Arabidopsis thaliana: one gene and its partners. The protein of the gene in region 3 interacts with the protein of the main gene of each other region in a pairwise test. Each region holds a gene or a part of one and is shown on either strand. Other genes may lie near its edges.

Evidence for each region.
Region 1: the proteins of AT1G61420 (region 3) and AT2G24250 interact in a protein complementation assay, tested with the Arabidopsis thaliana proteins (one large-scale study listed by BioGRID).
Region 2: the proteins of AT1G61420 (region 3) and AT3G18800 interact in a protein complementation assay, tested with the Arabidopsis thaliana proteins (one large-scale study listed by BioGRID).

The regions. Positions count from the first base shown.
Region 1 is NC_003071.7:10,312,493-10,317,053, forward strand, and holds AT2G24250 (LOW protein: F-box/kelch-repeat protein (DUF295)), read right to left. Parts: upstream 2,489-4,561; 5' UTR 2,367-2,488; intron 2,100-2,366; 5' UTR 2,069-2,099; coding exon 944-2,068; 3' UTR 574-943; downstream 1-573. Other genes in the region: AT2G24255 (LOW protein: F-box/kelch-repeat protein), read right to left, coding at 3,561-4,561.
Region 2 is NC_003074.8:6,477,825-6,480,983, reverse strand, and holds AT3G18800 (uncharacterized protein), read right to left. Parts: upstream 1,398-3,159; 5' UTR 1,239-1,397; coding exon 645-1,238; 3' UTR 521-644; downstream 1-520. Other genes in the region: PERK6 (Protein kinase superfamily protein), read left to right, coding at 1-283; AT3G18790 (pre-mRNA-splicing factor ISY1-like protein), read right to left, coding at 2,229-3,131.
Region 3 is NC_003070.9:22,659,998-22,666,231, forward strand, and holds AT1G61420 (S-locus lectin protein kinase family protein), read right to left. Parts: upstream 4,178-6,234; 5' UTR 3,600-4,177; coding exon 2,345-3,599; intron 2,216-2,344; coding exon 2,105-2,215; intron 1,988-2,104; coding exon 1,818-1,987; intron 1,739-1,817; coding exon 1,528-1,738; intron 1,432-1,527; coding exon 1,194-1,431; intron 1,095-1,193; coding exon 944-1,094; exon of another isoform or gene 854-943; coding exon 560-853; downstream 1-559. Other genes in the region: AT1G61415 (CAP-gly domain linker), read left to right, coding at 57-150, 237-423; AT1G61430 (S-locus lectin protein kinase family protein), read right to left, coding at 4,672-4,968, 5,058-5,208, 5,292-5,529, 5,608-5,818, 5,885-6,045.

The DNA of each region.
Region 1 (4,561 bases), on a different chromosome or scaffold from region 3:
TCTTTAAGGTTTTTTGAGGATTCGTTACCTTAGTACATGTGAGTGGTTGCAACTGCTACTGTCTTTTGGGGGCAGTTAAAGTTTATATCTTCATTTCGCTTTTCCTTAAAGATTCAAGATTTTAGCTTTTAGTTTTTGGAAGGAATTTTCTTTTCTCATTTACACTTTCCGGGAAAGTTTGTGGCATAACAATGTGAGCTACCACATTGGATAAGCTCTGACCTTTAAAGAATCTAGTTCACTTCTTACCATCACTTTGCAAAATCAGTCTCTACCCTCTCTGTTCCATTTCCATTCTTAAAAGCTATATTCTCATTCAAGAATATTGGAAATCTGATATGTTAAAAAAAAAGATGGAAAAGCTTACCTAACCGTTGAGAAAATCAAAGACTCCCTCAAGGCAAGTACAATCAGCTCGAGTAGTCAAAAGCAATGTAGTTTTCCTGATTATCACCTTCTTTCTTGAAAGCTTCCCTGAATCACAGAAAAGGCTTAAATTTGATACAAAACTCAAACGTACCAACTGTCAAGATCTTCACTATCCCAAGGATACAAACTAACAACGAAGTGATCCTGTTTACCGCTTTCGGACCAGTTTTACCTACGGACTATGCAACACATGCACCACTACTTCAAACCAAAATGTAGTAGCAATATACAACGATCAAAAAGCTCTTAACAGAATAAAAGCAAGAATAGTAGTTGTATGAGGGTATGGCATAAGGGGACGACATTGCTGCTATGCCTGCAACAAGTTTGATAAGAACATAGCTGGTTACCAACAAATCTTTCTAGACTAACTACAATAGACCATTGCACATTTGCTAGAGATCATGTATAGTTCGAGTTTTCAAGTACACAAAATCTAGACTTAAAATCAAAGGAAAACATAGCCTTTGATCTAATAAAAACAGAATAACAGTCTGAAGTGAGAATTTGCGGCCTAGCGTTCAACCCGGAAAGACAGGACCGGATCATATCTGTTGCGGAACAACACACGATTCTCCCTTGAGGATCTCCAACAATTGATATTGTCTTCAGCCTTTCTTTTATTTGTATGTACTCCATATTTATAGGGGTAAGTTACATTGCGTGACCCAACGGTGAACAAAATCGAGTCCCCAGTCAAACCACAACCATGAGGAAGCTCCTTAGCGGAGCAGTAGAAATTCCCCAGGTGTCCACCAAGAAACAAAACACGGTCTCCCAAATCGCTGACCTCAACCCATTCAGCAGCCTCCTCATCTAGCCTACTTACTCTACATCTTAGGAAGTCTGTCTTAACCAGGAAAAGCTCCTCATTGCCAGATGGAACCAGAAAGTTGGAGTCGATATGAGGTGTTAGGGGAGTCGCTTCCAGCGAAGAAGGATCGATAACGAACGTGTCCCCATTAAAGAAAGTTGCATAGAACCTTCCTCTAAAAGTGAATAACTCCTTACATGAAGCAGTTGAGGGTTTCTCAAGCCGAATCCATCTCATTTCAGTACTTCTTAACACCAAAAACAAATCAGTGCAGTCGAGGAGCGCAACGAATTCGCCTCCTCCTCCTTGTTCGTTTAGCGGAAGAAAAGCTGCACTGTATTCTTCAGGATTGCAACCGATCATCAATCTGTACTTATGGCCCAGAGGGATGATCTGGCAGTCAAGCATGTTCATCAAAATTGGCTCAGTTCCTGGAACATTGACTTTCACTGAGCACTGAAGAGGAGATGGAAGCTCCACATGATCATTTGACTTATCTTGGCCTAATCCTCCCAGAAAATATTCGGAGGAAGCATCAGCAGCATCAGGAGGAGTTAGAACTCTAAAGAGGAACAAAGGGACCTTCTCCAGGGTGCAGCACAAGTCTTTGCTTTCTAAAGGGAAAGCGGGAAGAGAGTAACTTTGGCGTAATAGAGAAGAAGGAAATGGAAATGTGGATCGCCATGAGCGGCAAACAGAGCGGGCATGAACAGCATCGAAATAGTGATCCTCTAGATGCGTTGAGATAATGTGAAGTAGCTCTTCAGGGAGCTGAGACCAGTCTGGCATTATCGATGATGTTGATATCTTCTTTTTCATTGCCATGCTTGCTGCTGAAGAACACAGAAATTTACTGCTGCAATTTCGAAAATTTACAACTTTTTTTTAGGGGTTTGATGAAATTGCTGAAACGATCCAACTCTTCCATTTTTAGAAAATTCTCAGTTCATTCTTGGAAAATAAAACCCAACAGGAAAAAATTGATTTCACTGAAGCTCCAAAGGTCATAATCAATTCTGGGTTTGATCAATTTGCCACAGGAAAAACTAAAAGTTGGTAACAGAAAATTCACAGTTCATTATAGAATATTCGCAGGGATTAAAGAGATAGGTCGTAGTAGTACCGTAACTTGGAGAAAAAGTTGGAGCTTCCTGCAGATTCTTCAGAGCCCTTTCGTAGCGTCGACAAATGGGGATAGAGACTAGTTAAGATTTAGAGCGAATTTGGTTTGGGGTTGGATTGATTGGGAAAGCAAAGAACCGAAGGGATTGAGACGGTTTATATCAAATGAGCCGGTTAAGACTTTGGTTTTCGGATAGACTTGAGATGACGTCGTTTTTGCATTATGTTGTTGTTATGTTTCTTTTCTTCGTTCTGTTGATTGTTTTGTACTCTTGTTTCTCTCCTCTGTACCCAAGAATATTTTTGATACTGATTTGCCAAGAGGTATCTTCGATCGGTTTGAATCTTAGGAACTCGTAAAGTGATGTGAGTTCTTGTTTTTGGAACGGTTAATAAACGCTAGTACGCAACATTAATGAAATAACACAGAGCTTGGTAACCCCATCAATGAAACTCCCTAGGCTAACTATAGAAGTAAGTTTCATTTTCCTTTAAAGATGATTTCAAGAACTTAGCTTTAGCTTTTGGAAGGAATTTTCTTTTCTCATTGACACTCTCTGGGAAAGTTCTGGCGTAACAGTATTAGTATGTGAGCTACCACAGTGGATATGCTCTGATCTTTAAAGAATCTAGTTCACTTCTTTTCATCACTTTGAAAAAACAAATGTCTACCCTCTCTATTCCACTTAAAAGCTATATTCTCATTCAAAATGACATCGGTATAATATGTTAAAAAGATGGAAAAGCTAACTTAAACGTCGAGAAAAATCAAAGACTCCAGGGAAATATCAACGAGCTAGAGTAATCAGCCATTGCTTTATTGAGGAAGTCTTCGGGAGCTACACGGTCAAAAGCAATGTAGTTTTCCTACATTTAGTCCATATCGTCGTCATCAAGCGCCAGTTCCATTCAAGTAGCAAGATTTTTAAACTGCACAAGGCAGCACACAATAAAAGATCAGTGACCAAGAAAAGAGTTTCTATATCGTGGCTAAACGTTTCAGTTTTGGACAGTGTCAAATTGTTCAAAAAGATCATGATGACGAAAAAAAGTTATAAGAACTCAGAACTGAGATTTAACTTCAACATTAAATACCAGTGATCCAACAATGGGTAACATGAGATATCACAAAATCCATACCTAAAAATATGATAGGAATTTATGTTTTTATTTCTCTAAAGCAGGATTTTACTGCCTAGCAGTCTTCATGGAGAGCCATAACCGGAAAAAATGGTTGAGTATCATCACACGATTCTCCCTTGAGATCTTTTACCGCACTTTGTTTATAGTATAAAAATGCATTGCCTGACTGATCGCCGAACAAAACTGCGTTCTCAGTCAAACCAAAACCCCGAGGAAATTCCTTAGCCGAGCAAGAGAGATTTCCAAGTAACAATACACAGTCTCCCAAATCACCGACCTCAACCCATTTACCAGCCTTCTCATCTACCCTCCTCACTCTACGAGCTAACCGACTAAAGTCTATTACAACATCATTTGGGATGATTACCTCAACCAGGAAAAGTTCATCTTTGCCATATGGAACCAGAGACCGTAATTCTCGCGGGTCCTGAGGTGAGGACAACAGAAGAGTCACCTCCAGCGAATAAGGATCGATAACGACGATTTGTCCTGAAAGAAAAAGTGCATAAAATCTGCCTCTAAAAGTGACTATATCAACGCATATAGTATATGGGACGTTCTCAAGCTGCTTCCACCTCATTTCAGCACTTGTTAACACCAGCAAAGTGTCAGAGACTTCGAGAAGCACAACAAATTCTCCTCTTCTTCCCTCCTTGTCTAGCCGAAGAAAAGTCGCGCGATTATATTCCCAACCGATCATTCTGTACTTATGGCCCAAAGGGATGATCTTTTTTGGAATAGATGCTGGGATCTTCACGTTCACTAAACATTGAAGAGCATCGGAAAGCTGATCATCAGCAATATCAGGAGATGGACCTTCTCGAGGGTGCACATGTTTTTGCTTTCTGAAGGGAATTCGTTGAACGAGGGAAGAGAGTAACTTGGGCGTAACAAGGGAGACAAAGGAAATGTGGATCGCCACAAGCTGCAAACAGAGCGAGCATGAACAACATCGAAACAGTTGTCCCCTAGATACTTCAAGATACAGTAGCTCCTCAGGGAGCTCAGACCAGTCTGGGGTTATCGATGATGTTGATGTCTTCTTCGTTTTGG
Region 2 (3,159 bases), on a different chromosome or scaffold from region 3:
GGCTCTGGAGGGAGATGCAACGCTAGACGATCTAAGCGAAGGAGGGAAAGCGGGACAAAGCTCATTCCTCGGGAGGGGTTCAAGCTCGGACTATGACTCAAGCACTTACAGTGCGGATATGAAGAAGTTCAGGAAAGTGGCATTGGATAGTCATGAGTACGGTGCAAGCAGCGAGTACGGGAACACGAGCGAATACGGGCTTGACCCGTCTTCCTCGAGCAGCGAGGAGATTCGTAGAGGAGGAGCTAACAACAACAAAACCACTCCTAGCCGAGACCATTGATTTAGCTTGTTAGTTTCAAAACAATCTTCCTTGCTGTGTTTTTGTGTTTTGTTTCCCCTATGAATTTTTTTTTTCAACTCTTTTATTCTTTTTGTCACCGTTGGATTTGTGTTTGTGTCTGTGAAAAAAAATTCAAAACTTTTGATTGTGATTAATTGATTTATTAATGCTAATTGTCTGTCTTAATCCCATCTCTCAATCAAGTAATTGACTAGGGCTTCAGTAACCAGATTGAATCAAATGTCAAAGATTCTAACTTTGTTTTATTTCAATCTTCTTGATCATTCTAAAGCTGAGGACTAATGAATAATAAGAAACAGATGGGTTTTGCAAAATTTACGAAAATGCCACTCTAGAGATCTCAGAAACAGAGGATAACGACAGAGAAAGAGATCATGAAAGTGTAAAGAAGGATCAAGAACCCAAAATAGAGAGCCCAATTTCTCTTAAACTTGCCAAAGTAGCTATCAGGTGGTTCTTGATACGGAACTTCCAGATCCCAAGCAGCAGCAGAGGCCTCATCACCGTCGCCTCCACCGAGGAAATCTCCGGCAGCGATTCTTGACTTGATGAAACGGAGCTTGTGAGTGGCGAGACCGAGAGTGAGCTTATGGCAGCGACGCTGGTACTTGAAGCCGTTGATGCAACGGAGAGTTTGAGCGACGGAGACGTAGAAGAAGAGGTGAGAGAAGGATAGGAGGCAGATGGGTGCCCAGCAATGGCGGCAGTGAAGACGACCTGAGGGTTGAGAGAGGGAGAAGAAGATTACGGCGAGGAAGATGAAGAAGAGCTGAAATAGCTTGTGGAGCTTCTTCTTCTGGTGGTCAATGGCTCGTTTCTTCTCTAAGGTTTTCTCGAAGTGGAGCTGGATTATTGAGTTTAGTGCTTGTAGAGCAGTTTCTTTGGGGATGAAAGGTTGGTTATTCTGGTCAATTTCGTCGTCGTAGTCCGCCATTGAAGGACTGAGAAGAGAGAAAAAGTGTTATTGGTTAGAGAGATGGTTTGGGGATTGTGTGTAGGAACATGTGGGTGTGGTTCGTATCTCTAGACAAGTATTATCCATCTCAACGGTCTTGTTCTGATTTTTGATGTTTTGTCCGTACTCAATAAATATTTTACTGGGAGTAAAATCAAAACCAGAAAAATGCTTGTGGTTGGTCTCAACTTATGTCTCTGCATAGCACCAATCTAGTTAGAGCCAAAGGAACAATGTATAAACCTCAGGCAATGAGCATTACATTCAGAAGTATAAAGATACAAAAGTCGAGCTACATAATAGAATACACTAGTTCAGTTCCAAGTGACATTGTATCTTCTCCTTGAGTCTTTCACATTTGTTTCCATGAAATCATATTTCAAACGCCCAACATCGTTTCTTCTTTAGGCAAGAGACCATCGCGGCTGAGTTTGTTGGTAAAACAGAGCATCTGAGAAGCATAGAGATGATGTATCAGCCTCTCAGATTCAATTCAAGAGAAGATATAATACGAATTCCTTCGCATCCTAATGCATGCCACTAAGGCACTAACTAAAGTATGTCCCATTGAAATAACAGTTTCTGCAAATCTAAGCTCCACATACAAGGGTACTAGGTCAATTACTCAGGTCAGTGAAACTCTTGATTAATGAAGCAAGAATGTACGTTGTTGTTATAGATTGATCGCGCTTTATGACATTACTCGACAGAAGCCTTATCATACTCTCAAACAGACCAGGACTACTAAGGAAATATAAATCAAGATCTAGCAAATTCTCTAAGATCATAATCTAGGATGTAATAATATAAGAAACATCAACAAATTTTTAGAATTCCTCTAATCGAAATTTCTTAAAACACACAGCAGTTCAGTCAATTTTCTGATCAAAAACTGCAAAAGAAACTACAGACAATAAAATTATACTATGATATGATTAAAAAGCCTTACAAGAAGAGATGATCACCTTTCTATCTATGAATATTGAGCATGGATTTAGCCTCAGTCTGCTGCTCAACCAAATCTTCACTAGCATACTTACTAAGCAGATCCATCTTCTTCTTCTCCAACACCATCTTCTCAATCTCCTTCTCATCAGGCAACGGAACATGAACCACAAATTCCCTCTCTTTCTCCTCCTCTTTCTCCCTCTCCATCCTCTCCTCCTCAACAACATCCTCCTCCTCCTCAAACAACACTTCCCTCGCCGCAGCAGCTGCAGCTCCAACACTCACAACCTCACTAGCACCTTTCCTAGCTTCCTTCCTAACCTCATCTAATCTCCGCCACTCCTCCACCGATCTTTTCCTCATCCCTCCTTCAGATTTCCTCTCCAACTTCTCCAAAATACCATCTTCATCATCTCTATACCCATAATAGCTAGCATCAATCCTTTTATATATATCATACCTAGTTTTACGCTTCCTCAGCTCAGGAGGCTTCTCAAAAAGCTCTCTAACACCAGGAAGTTTCTTAGCAGCTCCGAAGTAACGATAACCAGGACCACGACCACTAGGGTTAGGTACATCGATTATGTTACCTTCTAGATCCGTCATCTTCGCCGAATGTTTCGAGTAATTGTGACCACCTAGCTCAACGATTCGCCGCTCCCAATGATATCTCTCCCTGAGAAGCTTGTTAATCTCATCGTTTAGATCTCGAAGTCTGTGCTCTCCTAATCCTTCGTTCTGAATCTCAGCTACTTTGCTACCGATCTCTCTCAAAATTTGCTGTCTCCATTTGTCTGCTTCAGCTAGATCTCTACATTCTGATGCGAGGTAAGGTCGACGCTCTTTTGGCTTCTTCTTCTCAGATTCTTTCTGGGTGATGAATCTGTTGAGCATCGACTGTGCTTTCTCTTCATTACGAGCCATCTTGGGTCTTCGGAGGTTACGATTACAC
Region 3 (6,234 bases):
TTGTTTTTTGTTTCTGTGTTGTTAAATCTCTATCACTATGTTTTATTTTCTTAAAGCTGATTCAAGAAACTCTCTGAAGCTATTGGAGGATGAGATTTGTCGTTTGAGAAATGAGCATAGTGAGCTAATTACAAGACTAACCGAGAAGCGGTAAACATCGATTGTGTTGTAAACAAGCATTTGTGTTCTTGATCCTCTGATTGATAAAGCATTGCTTATGGAATTTTTTTACACAGGGAAGGTTTTGTGAAGATGTGTTTTGGGTTTCAAAGGGAGATTGAAGACAGTGAATTCAGGAATTTATTGTTGGAAAGAGAGTTTCTCGACAACGAAGTTCGGATGTTGGAGGAGAAGAACTTAGATGTGAAGAACTCTATTTTGGCTTACATGGAAGATGAAATGATGAATCTATTATCTGATTAGTGTTTCTGGTCACATTATCTTCAACACCATGGATCATTGGTGCACCAGAATGGAGGTTCATGTATACAAAAAATATGTTACAAAAAGAATAAAAGGTGAAGTTTGTTATCAACGCCCTAAGATCAAACATCATTTCTTAACGCCCTAAGATCACAGACTTTGTCATCTCATTCACAGTGATCAAATCCTCAGACGATGATTTGTCATCTCTCCTGTGCACTACAAATGTCGGTTGTTCTGGTGGTGGAAGATCTGATGTTGTGGTGAGCATAGACAGCAACTCAAGTGTGTTGGGTCTATCTGCAGGTTGGTGTTGAACACAGAGCAGACCGATCTGAACACATCTCTCAACTTCCAGTGGGCGACATGAATCGGCGACATCTTTGTCCAAGAGATCAATTCCTCCAGTATCACACCAAGATTCCCACGCCTGTTGTTCAGATTCAGGTCTTAAGAATATAAAAGCAAGAAACGTTTTGAGACATTTGCAACTGTATGAATACCTAAAAGTTGTACTTACATATGCAATAAGGGTTTTTTCTTCTTTGCCATAGCTGAATCTTGAGATCTTCTCCCCGCTTATGATTTCTAACATTAGAACTCCAAAGCTATAGATGTCGGACTTTTCAGAAAACATCCCAGTCCATGCATACTCAGGAGCCATATATCCTCTGTGCGAACATCGAATAGTTTCACCCAATGTTTAATAAACGATTATGAGTTTATGACTATGAATCTTGTTAACAATGTTATGGAAAATAGAGTCTTACAGAGTTCCTACAACCCTGCGAGTATTGTCCTGATATTCGGTTCCCTGATACATCCGAGCCAATCCAAAATCTGATATCTTTGGATTCATCTTCTCGTCAAGAAGAATATTGCTAACCTTCAGATCTCGGTGAATAACCTTGAGGTGTGAGTCACGATGGAGATAGTGAATTCCACGCGCAATACCTTGAATGATATCCAATCTCTTTGGCCAGTCAATCTCAAGCCTTTTTCTTGAATCTAAGCGACAATATAGAGTATGAACAATCAGATAAGACAGTTCCATGTAGAGAAAAAGTTGCTGATAGTAAAGGAATGAAGCAAGAAGGAACCCACCGAAGAGAAAGGTATCAAGGCTATTGTTCAACATGAACTCATAAATCAATAGCTTCTCTTCTCCTTCAATGCAACATCCCAAAATCCGAACTAAGTTTTTATGTTGTAGTTTTGAGATGAGTACTATTTCATTCATGAACTCCTCTTTGCCCTGGCCCGAGCTGCTAGAAAGCCGTTTTACAGCAATTTCTTTCCCATCTTGCAGCTTACCCTGAAACACATTGCATAAGGTCATCTGGAGAGCATAAGCAAAGAATAGAAAAGAGCAAAGAGGTTAAAAATTCTCTAACCTTATAAACAGGGCCAAATCCACCTTGTCCGAGTTTGTTTGATATACTGAAATTATTGGTGGCAGTTTGAATGGTATGCATATCAAAGAAATCTAAACCTGGGACATCTTGTGGTTTCAGATCATTCCTCCATGAAACTTGTGAAGCATCCGTTGTTATATCAGCTGAAACTAGTGTTTCAATTATAGATAATATAGGTCATCAGTGTCTTACCAATAGCAAGAAAATGAGTACTGTAAATAAAGAAAAGAAATCAATAGAGAGGGAGTAAGATCATCAGTTTTTACCATTATGTTTCACTCTATATCTCCAGAAACAAAACGCAACAAACGCAATTATCACAACAAGAGAAAGGCTCACAATACTAGCAGTAATGGCCTTCTTGCGCTTATTTCCACCTGTGACATATAAGACAAAAACAAATTAAACAATAAGCCATGCTGCTTCCGGTAAGAAGAGTATCAATGGAGTTGTAGATAAAGTTGTAAACGAAGTAATTCTTCCGTGTAATCATTTGAGCGCCATACCTAGTTCAGAACGTGCCAGACGAATGGAGAGAAGTTCTCCTCCTTCAGAAAATTGCACTGCGTCCATTAGGTCTTGGTTCCACATTAAGCACCCAATTCCATCGATATAAGCAAAGGCCAAGCAAGAACAATTGTGGAGGCAACTTTTCTGGCATTCTTCAACATTCACAAAACTTGCAAATTCGTAAAAGTCTGGAGGCTTTATCCTGGCAACAGGATGGAACACGTTTGCATATTTGCCAGTAGAGTTTCCTTGACAATATAGTTCGGTACGCCTCACACAACCACCAGTCCAGTTTCCTCTTTTCCACTCCTCAATGAGTTTAGGAACAAACCCTTTGAAACACGTACATTTTGGAGGAACAGACTTCACACATAACCCAAAAGGTCCACATACACCGTAGTAATCACATGAGTGTTCTGGAGCCACAAAGTTCAATACCCAGTCCGTCCCATTATGCCAAGACAACTCCTGTGTGCCCTTTGATGTTAGCATTGTACGTTGAAGTCTATCGTTTCTGTTTAAATAAGTGAGAGATCCTGACCCATTTGTATCCTGCTGAACGCTGACTGGACCTGTAAATGTGTCATCCATTAGCGGTATCCCCGTGAACCTTGTTTTAGCCCATGGACCGCTTCTATAATAAGGCGTTGATCCTTTCGTAACAAGCACCTGCGTTGGCACTTGTGGCGTAATCTGAAGCACAAAGTCGCCAACCGATGGATCAGTGTAACTTTTCCAAGAACTCAACACCTGCTTCTCGCCAGTGGCGAGGTTATACTTCAGGGTTGAGGAAGGAAGCATAGTATCACCAAGATGGTCAAAGCTTTGCCATAGAGTTCTTCCCGAAAAATTGTCTATGACAATAAGATTTCCGGTGTCTGAAAGCTCTGCACGAGACCCGTTAGAAACAAGAGCTTCTCCACTGGACCATGCAACGCCATGTTTGCCATTAAATAACAGAAGACTTCCATTGTTGCTGATAGCGAGATTTGCCGTGGAATCTGTAACAGGCTTTTCTCTATTGGCCACCCACACAACCACCCGGGGAATAATACCCTTGAACCAGATTCCGACATACTGATTCTGGGAGTTATTAAAATTGAAGAACCCCAGTTCATAAAAACCATTAGAGGAGCTGAGAGTTTGTCCTATTGGCAAAGGACTTTCTTTCGTTATCCCTGCAGAGCTAGAACTTATAAAGAAGCTAGATAAGAGCAAATAAGCAAAGAACACGATCCACTTCTTCCCCATATTTGTTATTTCTCTCCAAAAACTATCTTTTTTAGATTAGCTTTACATAAAGCGAGAAAGCAAGAAAAAAAAAAAAAAAAACTCTCTTTGCACATTTTTTGTTTTGTCAACTCAGGGACTGACTTGTGAGAATAATACAGAACAAAAATCATGCGTTATTTAATAATCTTTACTAATGTTCCAAAAATCATGCGTTATTTGATAATAGAGAACAAAAGTGTCAAAGCACGAATAAGTCCTTACCCAATCAGATACGCAACGTTGTCATTGTTCAATGCTATCAAGAACAAAAAGAAGAAGACTTTGGTTATCAAAGACTTTAGAATAAGTTACTGCAAATTTTCTTCTATTCCATTCAAAGACAATCATTTACTTAAATACACAAAAAAGGTGTTCAGAAAGTAACTGCTCACTAAACAAATAACAACGTGAATGAGTGGGAGACAATTCCAAGTCCTTATTAGCTCTGCATCAATAATAGAAACAATGCATACATGATAGATTGGCACGAAGAAGTCCTTACCCAATCAGATACGCAACGTTGTCATTGTTCAAGTCCTTATTAGTTCTGCATCAATCGAAAGAATCCAATCCTTGCTTCACCATTACAACACAATAACTTTCTTGAAATGCAGGCTATGTTTTATCTCGTTTAGACATTTCCTCGAACACTTGCAGTGCATAAAAAAAACCTCCGAGCCTCGCTAATGTCGTTAGACCCGTAATGACCCTAATCGACTGATTCCCAACTCCAACCATATGGGCTTAACTGTTTCTGTCCAAAAGAACCGAAGAATTCAACAGTCAACATTGGTGTGCCACTAGGCCCGAGAATAATCTCCCGGGAAGTCTTAAAATGAAGTAGAGTCAACGATTTGTTTTTGAGCAAAGTATTTTGTCAATTTAGTGGGAAGTGGAATCATGTAATCATGCCTAATAAAATATACCTTAGTCAATTTTACCAAACAGTTTCCACATAGATAAAAAGTTTCTGAATAATAAAGGAAGGGATGTAATTTTACAACCATTAGAAATTTTGATCCTTATAGAGAATAATTCCAATTCTACAGTTTCAACGTCCTTGGATCACAGACTCTGTCATCTCATTGACAGTGATCATCGAATCATTTGACGGTGATTCGTCTTTTCTAGTGTGCACTACAAATGTGGGTTTTTTGGGCAGAGGAAGATCTGATGTTGTGGTAAGCATAGACAGCAACTCAAGTGTGTTTGGTCTGTCTGCAGGCTCGTGTTGAACACAGAGCAAACCAATCTGTACACACCTTCCAACTTCAGATGGGTGACTAGAATCAGCAAGAGCTTGGTCCAAAAAATTAACTTCTCGGGTTTCACACCAACATTCCCATGCCTGTTTTTCAGTTTCCACTCTTAAGAATATCAAAGCAACAAACCTTTTGCAACCTCTGCAAATGCATGAAAACATAAAGTCTTACTAACATATGCAAGAAGTGCTTTTCCCTCCTCGCCATAGCTGAAACTTGAGATCTTCTTTCCGCTGATGATTTCTAACAACAGAACTCCGAAACTGTAGATATCGGATTTCTCAGAGAATACGCCAGTCCATGCATACTCAGGAGACATATATCCTCTGTTCAAAGATCAAATAGTTTCACCCAATTTAATATATGACTACCAATCTAGTTTAATATGTTATCAAGGGATGGTTCTTACAGAGTTCCGACAACCCTGCGAGTTTTTTCCTGATATTGGGTTCCCTGAAACATCCGAGCCAAACCAAAATCTGATATTTTCGGGTTCATTTTCTCATCCAGAAGAATGTTGCTGACCTTCAGGTCTCGGTGAATTACTCTGAGGCGTGAGTCACGGTGGAGATAGAGAAGTCCACGTGCAATACCTTCAATGATCTCAAATCTCTTTGGCCAATCAAGTTCGAGCTTTTTTCTTGCATCTAAGTATACAAGCTATCAGATAAGAAATTCCAGATATAAAGGGGAAAACTACACGAAAGGGGTAAGAAGTGACCCACCAAAGACAAAAGTATCCAGGCTTTTGTTTTTCAAGAACCCATAAATCAATAGCTTCTCTGTTCCTTCGACGCAGCATCCCAAAACCCGGACTAAGTTTCTGTGTTGGAGTTTTGATATCAGTACTATTTCATTCATGAACTCCTGTTTGCCCTGCCCAGAGCTGCTAGAAAGACGTTTTACCGCAATTTCTCTTCCATCTTGCAGTTTTCCCTGAAACAAGTTGCAAATGTCATGTCAAGAAATGACAGAAAAGAAAAAGAGCAAAGAGGATAAAACGTTTCTCGCCTTGTAAACAGAACCAAATCCACCAGGACCGAGTTTGTTTGATAGACTGAAATTATTGGTGGCAGTTTGTATGGCATTCATCTCAAAAAATTCTAAACCTGGGACGTCTTGTGATTGCAGAAAATTCCTCCATGCATCGTTTGATATATGAGCTAAAATATGGGTTAGAATATGTGTGTCAGTGCCAAGTGAGTATATTCAGAGTTTTTAAAACAGGCCGAAACCAATGTACCAGAAAAATAATATACAAGTCAGTCAATTTAGTAGTGGAAAAAACACCTTTTTATTTAACGATATCTTATAACAAATGTAACAGAGCAATTTTATTGACAACCAAATGA